2 linked regions of the Drosophila melanogaster genome follow. The protein of the gene in region 2 purifies or fractionates together with the protein of the main gene of each other region. This does not show direct contact. Each region holds a gene or a part of one and is shown on either strand. Other genes may lie near its edges.

The links. Proteins that work in one complex are often made in the same cells at the same time.
Region 1: the proteins of CG8300 (region 2) and Jon65Aiv purify together in Drosophila melanogaster (affinity purification with mass spectrometry, with the first as the bait; one large-scale study listed by BioGRID). This does not show direct contact.

What each region holds. Positions count from the first base shown.
Region 1 is NT_037436.4:6,037,010-6,040,635, reverse strand, and holds Jon65Aiv (jonah 65Aiv), read right to left. Parts: upstream 1,482-3,626; 5' UTR 1,441-1,481; coding exon 1,184-1,440; intron 1,107-1,183; coding exon 548-1,106; 3' UTR 501-547; downstream 1-500. Other genes in the region: CG6462 (uncharacterized protein), read right to left, coding at 2,566-3,525.
Region 2 is NC_004354.4:7,100,992-7,109,046, reverse strand, and holds CG8300 (uncharacterized protein), read right to left. Parts: upstream 4,163-8,055; 5' UTR 3,892-4,162; coding exon 3,655-3,891; intron 3,254-3,654; coding exon 2,933-3,253; 3' UTR 2,702-2,932; downstream 1-2,701. Other genes in the region: fz4 (frizzled 4), read left to right, coding at 1-435, 497-735, 798-1,666; CG4617 (uncharacterized protein), read left to right, coding at 4,653-4,686, 4,743-5,255, 5,318-6,027.

The DNA.
Region 1 (3,626 bases), on a different chromosome or scaffold from region 2:
CCCCTCGCAAGAAAACTAATCCGAGTATGCAGTCAAAGCCGGCTGCACCGCAACGACCTCCCAGCCCAGCAATAAACTTATTAGGGCATTAATGAAAAAAAAAAACTATCACTAAGTGAAAGTTAATTAAGTTAGATTAAGATTTGAACACTTATTGTTAGTCTCTTAACACAAAGGGAAGATTCAATAAATAATAAAAATTAATAAAAAAAAAAAAAAATTGTGTCGCTTGGCAATTTAATGAATTTTAATGAGAACTTACTCGCCGAATGCCAGTAACAGCTTGGTTCTGCATTCATTTTCATTTGTCTGTTTTGTGATGATTTTTGATTTTAGACAAAAGCATATGTACAAGACGATATGGATTGTTACTATAACCGACGACCCTCAAACTGGGAACATAAGTTCTCTTTTGATCTATATTGAGTAAAGAAATTTATAAATGAAGATCTACGTTTCCGAAATTCCCCCTATAGAGCTATAAAACTTTTGAATTTTTTAGAAATGATTTTTATTTTTAAGCGAAATTGTAGTTCCTGACTCCTTCCTAGATGCCAGTGTTAGTCTTGATCCAGTCCAGGTAGCTGGTCACACGAGTGAAGGCAGCGGGGTAGCCCTTCTCGCAACCGGCAGAGGCACCGAATGAGGTCAGACCGATCTGCTCGCTGGACGACTTGAGGACCAGAGGACCGCCGGAGTCACCGTTGCAGGTGGACTTGGCGTCGGTGGTGGCCACGCAGAGGGTTGAGTCGGTCACGACCGAGGTGCCGTAGGTTTGGGCGCACTTGGTGTTGGTGATCACAGTCAGGTCGACATACTGAAGATTGGTAGCCACACCACTGGAGGTGTCACTGGTGCGTCCCCATCCGGAGGCGACAGCGACGTCACCGACGAAGGTCGAGTAGGAGTTGGAGATGCTTGGCAGCTTGACGGCGGAGATCCTGCTGCTGGAGGAGGTGGCGGGGATCTTGATCAGGGAGATGTCGTTGCGCAGGTTAGCGCTGTTCCAGCCGGAGTGGATGATGATGTCGGAGCTGGACACGGTGTGGGTGATCTCGGCGGAGGTGCGCACGGTGGCGCCCAAGTAGACGGTCACGGACTGAACTCTGCGATAAATCAAACATACAATTGGTTAGGACATTGGTTCCAAGATATTTTCGGCATTCCTTCAAGGGACACTCACCCATCGGTACAGTGAGCAGCGGTCAGGACCCAGGTGCTGCCGATCAGAGAACCACCGCACCAGGCGCTGGACAGAGCACTCAGCTTCAGGGAAAGTCCCACCTGGTAGGGGAACTGGCCGACGGCGGCGTTGCTTCCTCCGGTGATGCGACCTCCAATGTCGCCAACGACGGGCATCTCGCGGCTGCGATGGCGCAGCTCCGGCTCGGGGAAAGCGGAGGCGGCCACAGCCAGGGCAAGGATGATCAGGAACTTCATCTTGGGAATTGTTGCTTGTTCAGTTAAGGGAACTCAACTGTTTGGCCAAGGACCAGCTGGGGTCTTTTATACTGGCCAAGTCGCGTCTGCGATTGGGTTGCAATTCAGAAATAGAGCTGTCCCGATTAGATAGGACCACTAAAGTCGGTTCGAACTACCTTATCTGTTGAGATTTTGTGCCGAAGATATGAATGAATGAACTTCAGCCACACGGTCGCCAAAATTACTTTCCCAATCCAAGAGTATTAATCCCGATACGGATCTAATCAGGGCTATGGGCTTCGAGTGGATTTCCAGATCGAGCCGCTGCGATACCAAAGGCCTAGCATGGGGTTGCTAATTAATTTGATTAGTTTTACACATACGCGATATATACATAACTATATATTGCGATACAAAATTGGCAAAGGTTTGCTTTGCTCTTCAGCGTATCTTATAATTCCCATGGTAGTCGAGTGCTATCTTATCTCCTGTCTATAGGGTGAGAAGCCGTAAGCCCACAGTTTAGTTGGGTTTGTTTACCTTCGATAAAGGTCAAGGAGTAGGACGTGAGTTGGTCAAGACTGCTTAAACTTCATAGGAAATCATACCGCCGTCTAACAATTGCGTATCTGGACTCTCTCTTTGATTACAAACACGCAAATTTCAGTTGTTTTCGCAACCGCAGCCTTCTTTATCAGCGAAAGCCGCGTGATTTTATGACGCGTTCAACCGACCACATCACTGCGGTTAATAGCCAATTCAGATGGCCAATTGAAGGCGATTAGCGGGAGGAGGCGCTGCGGTCTGTACCCAATATGCCCTCACCAAAAACGGACACTCAACCCAATGATTTCAATTTCAGTGGCGATTCATCAGCAATTTCCATGGCAATGTAATTTTTCTTTTGTGCCCTTATTGAGCTCCCCAAATTGACTTGCTCTTCTGCAATGCCGAAATGTTTATTGTTATTTATCGGTAACAATTTTCATTCAAGAGAAAACAACCACACATAAAATGGACCATTTGCACCTTCCTTTCTCGACAGAAGAACCTGTTTTGGTTTCATTGCTCAAATTGGTTTTATTGTCTGGGCCGACTATATTGTTTAGCAATTAATGGGCTGCAATTAGGCGTTAATTGCATTTAGTTGGTCATTGCCGTTTGCTGTCGGATCCATGGCAAATATGCGGTTATCCTGGTGTAGACAGTGGGACCCCCCACCTCGCATCCTTCGGCACTGCCGAACGAGGTGACCCCAATCAGGTAGCTAACATTGCGCCAGTGGTACACAACGGGGCCACCGGAGTCGCCATTGCAGGCACCACGTCCATTGCTTCCATCGGTGCACAGGTGACGTCGCTGGCTAACCAATCCTGGCAGGAAATAGCAGATGCAGCGTTCCTGATCGATCACCTCCGCATCTAAGTACTGGAGGAGTCGCGTCCGTTTGTCGGTTGAATCTCCCAAGTAACCCCAGCCAGATAGGGTCACCACTTTGCCTACCAGAAAGTTTTGATGCATGAACTCCCCAGCCAACTCAATGGGTTGCACTTGTTCTGAAGTTCTGACTTTTCTTGGCAGTCGTATTAAAGCCAAGTCACTATATCCTCCAAATCCCAAGTAATCAGGATAAATAATGAAATCTCTATGCGTGACTTGTAACTCCTCCACGGAGTCTTCTACATCGGCAAATACGGTGGCGCCCGTGTATATCTTTGCAGCTATGGCATCGGTCAGACAATGGGCTGCAGTCAAAACAAATTGAAGAGTGATAAGGGAACCACCGCACTTGACCAGATCTGCGCCACTCAGCTGAATCACCAGACCCACTTGATAGGGAAACATGCCGCGCGTGGCCAATTCTCCTCCAGCTATTCGAGTTCTCACAGCAGCGGTTTGATTACCTTCCATCTCGAATTTTTCGCAGCGAAGTCGAAAGTTTTCGTAGCCAAGCTGCCAACGTCTTTCCATGATTGCATCGTCATCGTCCGGTGTCTCCTCTTTGGGGTGCTCAAAAGTATCTAGCCAAGGCTCACTTGATTTAACTAGTGTGGATGATAGAAGTAGCAGGAAGAAAGCACTTGTAGCCTGGTATTGCGCCATTTTATCACTACGGAATTGAAAAAATAATATGGGGAATACCTGTTATTGCATTCTATACTATATCTTTTAAATGTAATATTTCCTTTTTCTGACCAAATTCA
Region 2 (8,055 bases):
GCCCATGGATTGCTCGGGACTGGCCAAATCGCATCTGTACGTAAGGCTACCCAGATCTGGACGCTGTGCACCACTCTGCGAGGCGGACATACTGTTCACACCGGCGGAGAAGCATCTGGCAGAGATCTGGGTCTCCACATGGGCCTATGCCGCTTTGGGTTTGGCCCTGGTAGCCACCGTGTGTCTTTTGGCCAGCGATGGCAGTCGTTTGGCCAGCGCCAAGTGGTCCAGATTGTTGTCGCCGCTGATTTGGTGCCACAACATGGTCACCTTGGGCTGGGCAGTGCGCTTTATGGTGGGAAGAACGGGAACTGCGTGCGGCACGGATCCCCAGGCGCCCAATGAATCCCTACTCACCGTGGACGGACTGTCCAATGCCTCCTGCGCTAGTGTCTTCCTTATGCGCTACTATTTTGGAATGGCCGCCTGCGCTTGGTATTAGATTATAATATATACTTAATATTATAGAAACTATATTCCCATATCCTATTTGTAGGTGGGCTGTGCTCTGTTTGGGCTGGCACCGCGACATTCGTCGGCACAGTCCGGACTCCAAGGGCCATGTGGTCATTCCCTCGAACTTTGGAGGCAGTCCGGCGAAGAGGAACAGTGCCAAGACGGCTCAGCAGGATCTAACGCAAAACAACTTTGTGTGCTTCGTGGCCTGGGGATTGCCGGCCTTTCAAACGTCAGCAGTGATCGTTGCCCGTTTCGTGGATGCTGACGAGTTGCTTGGTGAGATATGCTATAGATCCGCCGGAGAATTCGGAGAGTAACCCAACCATACGCTCTTCTAGGCGCCTGTTTCGTAGGCAATCAGTCGGATAAGGCGCTACAGATATTGGTGGCTACGCCCGTTTTTTGCTACTGGATCTTTGGCTCGATGAATCTGATCTCCGGCTATTTGGTACACTGTCGCACCAAGGAGATCCTGAGGAATAGCAATGCACTCAGCGTGCAACAGCAACTGCAACAGCTAAGCGCACACAGTAGTTCCGGCATTGGCATATTCCTTTTCATCTATGGACTTGCATGTGCCATGCTTCTGTTGGCTGTCATTTACGAGTTTGCCAACATCGATGTCTGGCTGGGATCGGGTGATACCAATACGCCACTTTGGCCATTTTTGTTGCGCGCCTTCATGGAACTGATGCTGGGCATTTGCTGTTTTGCCTGGGTACTTGGACCAAGCATTTCCACTCTCTACAAGAGGCAAGTCAGCAATGGCAAAATGGTGAAGCATACGTCTGCCGGAGCAGCAACTGGACACCTGGACGGGCATAGTAGCTCGCGTGGATCGCATGCGGCTTGCAATAGCACGGTGGTCTCCTACCATTCGGTGCGAACTTCTATGGCCAGTGTTCCGTTGCCGCCAAGTCCGTACAAACTGAAGACTTCGCCTGGTACCGGCTCTATATCGCTGAATCAGATGTCCAACTATTCGCTGGGCAGGAGCGTGCATCACCAGCAGCGCCATTCGCCGCATCATCATCATCACCAGCAGCAGCAGCATCATCAGTTCCATCCCCACCACAATCACCAGCATCACTCCACATCCTCGCATCGGCTGTATTATCCGCCAGGTAGCTATGCCTCGCAAAAGTACAGCCAGCACGGCAGCTACTATCCCCACTTGCAGCAGTATGGCAATGAGACGCTACTCTAGACGGAATTGGATTAGGTACCATTTCAGGGCAGGAAATGCTTCCTGCTTCCAGTCAATGTTCCTGCAGCAGCTGCTGTGCCAAAGTCAATCCTCTACTATAACTTAATGCGGTTTCGGGTATCGAAAGAGGCAAAGCAACTTAAATGGGTGGGGAAACGGTCCAATTTGTTTGTCATAAAACGATCGTGAGATAACGATATCGTTATTTCGATTTTAGTTGCTTTGCCTGTCCATAGAACACAATGGGGTAAACCGATCTATGTACTGTGTATATAACCCCGGAAATGTGCTCTTAGTGCTTTAGTTTGGGCCTTTATCGCGAGGTCATAGGTCATCTACAATGTATTTGTAATTGCCCTAGATGGGCTTCATATCCTATTTTCCTGTGTGTACTTAATGTTGCTCCTAATTAGTTGCCCCTTGCGTTGCCTTTTTACCATTTTGGTGTAACCAAATTCAATAATCGCTCTTGCCTTTTAGACATTAGGACTTAATGTGTGTCGCCTTTGCGTACATAACACATATATACATATATATATTTAGCATTTTTATATAAATTCTTTTTTTTTGAGTTAGAGAGAGAGAGAAACGCGCAGCAACCAAATACTGTGATACGCATGTTCATGTCTTCAAAAACAAAAAAATAAAAATGGGAACCAGAAACTAGGTTTCCAACTTTGCTGTCTTCTCCCGATGCCGAAACAAGTGTACTTAACAATCGAAAAAAAAAAACGCAATTGCAATCGTAGCCGTAATGCCTAATTGTATTCAGTGTGCCATTAGCTTTAGGGACTTAACTGAAACGAGTCAATATCATGAAATTACCTTAAAAGAGTCCTTTTCCAGCAACGAACTTTGGCGGAATTACTGAGGGTTTTCCTTCAACTTCTGCTGATTTTCGCACAGAAAAAGTCCTACTTCTAAATGTCCAACTAACTAGCTAAGAAACTAACTAACCTTTATACAATTGCGGGCTAATACGAATCGTATGGAGCCCGCGACTAACAGTATATGTATTGTATTGTATTGTATTTTATATGTGTATTTTTTTTATTATCATATATGTATATGTATAACTTATTTGCTAGCGAATAAAGTGTCGAAAAGTTAATATCTGTTTTGATTCATTTCGTTTCGCATGGTTTTTACCAAGTAAAAGAGTCTCCAAGTGTCGCCAGTACTCCATGAGCATTTTGTTTCGCCTTCCTGCCAAGAAAATCGCCACCTTGCACAACCCACCTGGCAAGTGGGTGGCCCAGTGGGCGCCTACTGCCGTGTGGGTGGCAAGGTCGCCTCGCTGCGTGTTGGTTCGCATAGGACGATGGTTTCGTTGCGATTGTTGTTGCCGCTGCTGTTGTTGTTGCTGCTACTGGTCGTGGTCGACATGGCCCGCGGGTGCCAATTGTCAAGGTCCTCGTCGCCGTGCTCCTTGGCCCTGTGGTAGTTCTCCAATTCGCTGGCATACTTGCTGCTGGTGATACCAAGCAGGTGGGCCAGCCCACCGCCCACATAGTCGATGCCGGCCAGGAATCGGTTGCCCATCCTGCTGGCCTTGTAACGCAGGCGTGGTCCCAGCGGCATTTCGCTCTAAAAGGTGGCAAAAAAAAAAAAAGCGGGCTAAATGAGTCACGCTAAATGGTCAATGAGGAGGGGGGCGGGGGGTGGCAGCTGCTTATCTTTTTCGTGGCCCTGGGCCCTGTTTGTTTACTTAAACAGCTCAAAACACACATTTTCATTGAAAGATATAAAATTTCTCACATTATTATCATAATTCGCTTCGAACATTAGTCACGTCTCGAGCTCAAAGTGAAAAGTTATTATCTGGATCAGGAGAACTGGGCTAATCTTGAGCAAATTTAACTAACTGTGTTAATCCGGACAATCCCGCTTTAAAAAAGGTAAACAAGCAATGCAGCTACATGACCATGTACTAAATGGATGGCCGGAAGTGCATTACTCCACCCATAATCCTTGCTGAATGTATGTACCTCGTTTAAATGGACGTCGTAGCATTTGTCGCCCATTTCCGCATCCGCCTCGTCCTCGCTGCCCGAGGACAACTCCTCCATGACGCCGTCGCTAAAGTACAGCATGCGCTTGTTGGACTGCAGTTCAAGGGCGCTCACATTGTCCGTCTCGGATGCACTTGCTCCACTCGCAGATGCCAGTTCCAATCCTCCAGCTGCACTGCGTACTTCGCCACTCTTGTTCCTCTCCGCTGACATGGCTATGGATAGCTCTAAACCCGATTAAGTACCGCCTCGATTGATTGACGCTGCGCGAATGTTTTTGCTTGCGCTTGAGCTTCGTTTGAATCGCAGCCGCCGTTTTGGTCATGAAAAAAGCGGACGCGGGTCAACGCCAAATGCGTATACGGCCGGCTGGGGGCCAAAATGTCCTTGGGTTGGGGGCCACCGGCGAAACGACTCACAAACGGCGAGAATCGCGTGCCATGGGGCGCTTGGCGCAGTTAGGTGCAAAGCAAATCGATAAACTAAAAGCCGCTTTCAAACAGCAAAAAAAAAAGTCGAAACAAAACAAAGGTGCGGCAGTGTGACCAGCTGATGGTTTTTGCAAGCTAACTGGATATTAATTTAGATGTATTGTAATAAAAATGAAATTGCAGTCGTATATATCGTAAATGTTTTTGTTTATAAAAATAATTAATAATATAATAAAAAAATTAAGTTGTGCGTGCACATCCTGTGCTTATAATTTAAATAATATAACAATAAAAAATATTATATTATTAAATAATTAAGTTTAATGGTTTCCTACTCTGTACAATTGACTGGTGCAATGGTTATTAACTTAGCAATATATTCAAAAACTAAAATGGTTATCTAGTGTTCCATATTTAACCATCGCTTGCAATGCATCGCGTTTTAAAGCTCTGGTCACACCAAACAGCTGTTTTGTTTGCTTCGTTTAATTCGTTCTTTTTGCAACAAATTGCATCCCAATCTTCCAAAGCAGGTATCCAAACATGGAGTCCCCAACCTCGCACCTGGTGGCCAAGGGTGAGTGGAAAAAGCGGCAGCCGTCAATGGAATCGGGGTCATAAATTCCCAATTAGATTTCCAGGTGACGGGTGTTTCGCGCAGCGGACGCGTACGCAAAAAATCGTCGAAATTGTTGGATTTTGAATCTCCGGATGAGATCGAGAAGCGCACAAGGCGTCACAGTGGCGCCAGACAGCCAGCCAGATATTCGGGCCGCGGCAGGCCATCGAATGCGCTGCGTGATCTGGATCTTGACCAGGAGATGCTCGTGGATGATGGCATTATCTCGGATAGCGAGGAATTCCATCCGGATACAACGGCAACGGTCGTGGCCATTCTGAATTCCGACGATGAACTGGACAATCTGGTGCAGGATATCGTCGATGGTGTCCAGGCGGAGGCCACCAGCCAAGAGTCATCCGTCCGTCAGAGTCTTTACATGCGCGAGAAGTCCAACAAGCGGCAGGTGCTCAAGGACGGCAAGGTGGTGAGTGCCAAGGTGCAGCGCAAGGACAAGGGCAAGCAGCGCTACACCGCCTACAGTCTGTGGGCCAAGGAGGCGCGACAGAAGGATCTCCAGGATCTAGGTAGGTTGCTACACATCTGTGCGCTCTCTATCGCTTATTGACCATTCCCCGCACGCTTGCAGACTTCACCAGCGCGACCAGACGCCTCAGCGAGCTGTGGGCGAACGTTTCCAATCGGGACAAGAACACCTGGCGGCGCAAGGCCAAAATCGAGGCGTCCAGGGCCAAAACTCGCGACAAAACCGCTGCAAACGGTGCAACCCAGCCGGCGAGCAACGGCAGCACGGCTCTGGCAGATGCCACGCAGCACGAGACGATCTTTCAGAACCGTGCGACAACAAGTCGCACTCGAAAACTGGCCGCCGATCGGCAGCAATCCTCAATAGAAGCGGCTGCCGCAGCGGCGGCAGCAGCAGCGACTGGCACCAACACACAGCGGCGCAGCATCAGCACACGAAGTGCCAGGTCGCAGGTCTCGAAGAGCGCGACGAAACAAGCGCAAGTGCACACGGATGCGGACGTCAGCGGCCGGACTGGGGGTCAGCTGAAGCAGGAGGAGGTGCAAAAGACCAGCATCGAAGTGATCGATGCGGCCGCACATCTGAAGCTGCTCGGCGAGAGCCTGACTGTGATTGGCGAGCGACTGAAGAAGCACAATGGATACGTGGCGCTATCGGGCAGCTTGTCCGTGCTCCTCGACAGCCTGCTCTGCGCCATGGGACCGCTGCTCTGCATGACCACGCAAATACCCGGCATGGAGAACAATGTGCAGTTGAGCAAAAATCTGGCCGACACGCTCGACAACATCGCCTACGTAATGCCCGGACTATGAAGTAAATTCCGGATTGCAACTGCAAATGCATACATATATATATATATATAATCATACCAGGCCGCTGCGCTTCCAGCGGCGACTAGAGTCGCCATCGGGATCTGTATGTTTGTAAGGAGTTGGCCAACCTGGAAATAGTTAATCGCATTAGATATGCCTAGTTGATAAACTGAAGCATCTAGATCGTAAGTAAAAGGTCTCCCTCTAATTGAGTTTTTTTTTTATTTGCTTCTTGAATTGAAATTCGTACGCTAAAAAGTTTAGTAGTTCACTTATTTATTTCCACTTTTTGTTTTTTGCAACATTTAAGCACAAATCATCGAAACATTGGTAGAATTAGGCAACATTAAATATCCTATAATCCTTAAGTGAAATAAATGTGAATCACAAGATTCTTATTTCAGCTTCAAATTAAGCAGGCACTTTTTATAATAAACGTAATAAATAAAGATAAATATAAAAGCTAAAAATATGAGATGATTTCTTCCTCTGCCCAAAAATCTTTATAAAAGTGAAATATTTTTAAAAATGATCTCAAATAAGCCATAATTGAAGGTTCGAATAGTGGAACTATAAGCTAGATATAAACTTTAAATATTTATAAATACGTTAATTATTTGCTTACTTTCTAGAGATGGCACTTCGCTGGTGCGCCATCGATGACTTGGCTTGCCGTTACAACGGCGAGCTATCGATGTTACATCGCCGCCCTGCCCACCACTAGCCAGTCCGCGGAAAGTAAATAAGAAGACGGACGCCAAATCGAATCTTCCCACATCCCCGGATGCAGTGCAGCAAGCTCTGGGTCCCTGAGAATCCTGCGTGGGCCTGGGATTCCGAATCCTCTTCCGCCCCGGATCCGCACGTCAGCGCGGCATCCGCATCCGCCACCGCTTCCGCCCACGCACAGCATCCGCAGCCACATCCGCGGCAGCAAAAAAACGGTGAGTTTTCCACCTGCATTTTTTTTTGGATTTTCCGGGGGGGGGGGGGGCAGCAGCTGTGATTGGGATGGAAAATACTTGTGTAGGTGGACGGTCAGGTTGTAGGGGCGAATTGCGTGACGGCAGCGCTACAAATTGGATTAGTGCGGCGATTGATTCTGAATGGGAGATGTAAACAATCTTCCTGTGCACTGAGAAAAATAACATGGTAAAGCAAGGCACAAAAAAAGATGGAAAGATTGGTTGAATAAGATAAAATAGGTTTAAGACTAAGCTGAAATATCATTAGCCAAAAAACATGAATGTGAAATGAATTACTTTAAAGGATTCTTAAGCACAATTTGTTTAGAAAATAAATTCGATTCAGTAACTGTTAAATTCAAAGCTTAAAAAGAAATGGAATACCTTGCGATTTGCAGTCCAGACATTTTCTCGCAGTGCACTAGCTCCCCGCCCGCTGTTTTGTAATTGGCAATATAAGGAATGCCCGAGGTATCTATTTTTATACCGCTTAGCATAGTCGTTATGGTGATAAATTCCGAAGGGGGGGTGGGGGGTTTGTTCGTTATGCTTTTCAACCCCGTGACCTCCCACCGCGCCCAATGGGGCATACTTTTGGGGGCGCCGGGAACTGGGAGGTGTTTTAATTCCACCATCGTTGGTTTATTGAAAAGTTGTCATAACTCAGAACAGACAAGCCAGCAAAGTTTCGAGTCCTCTCAATTGCGGGCAAATACAGGCAGATCTTAAAACTATAATGTTTCATTAAATTCACGCCGTCATTGAATCGAATATCGTGTTTTCCCGTTGGTAACTATCTAGATATATGAACTAATTTAAAAGGAAAACTCAAGGTTTTTATGTAAAACGAACGCGTGGTTTTTCTAGCAGCTCATTTTCATTTCAATTGAACTTTAAGATGAGCTTAAAACTCGCCTTTCGCATTTCAAATACCAAATAATTGGTAAACATTGCCATTTACACAATCAATCATATTATAACTTCTTCGGGTAATGAGAATGAAAACCTTTTCTTTTGGATTGAAAGTGCAATCGGATTCCGAGAGACGCCATAATCATAATAG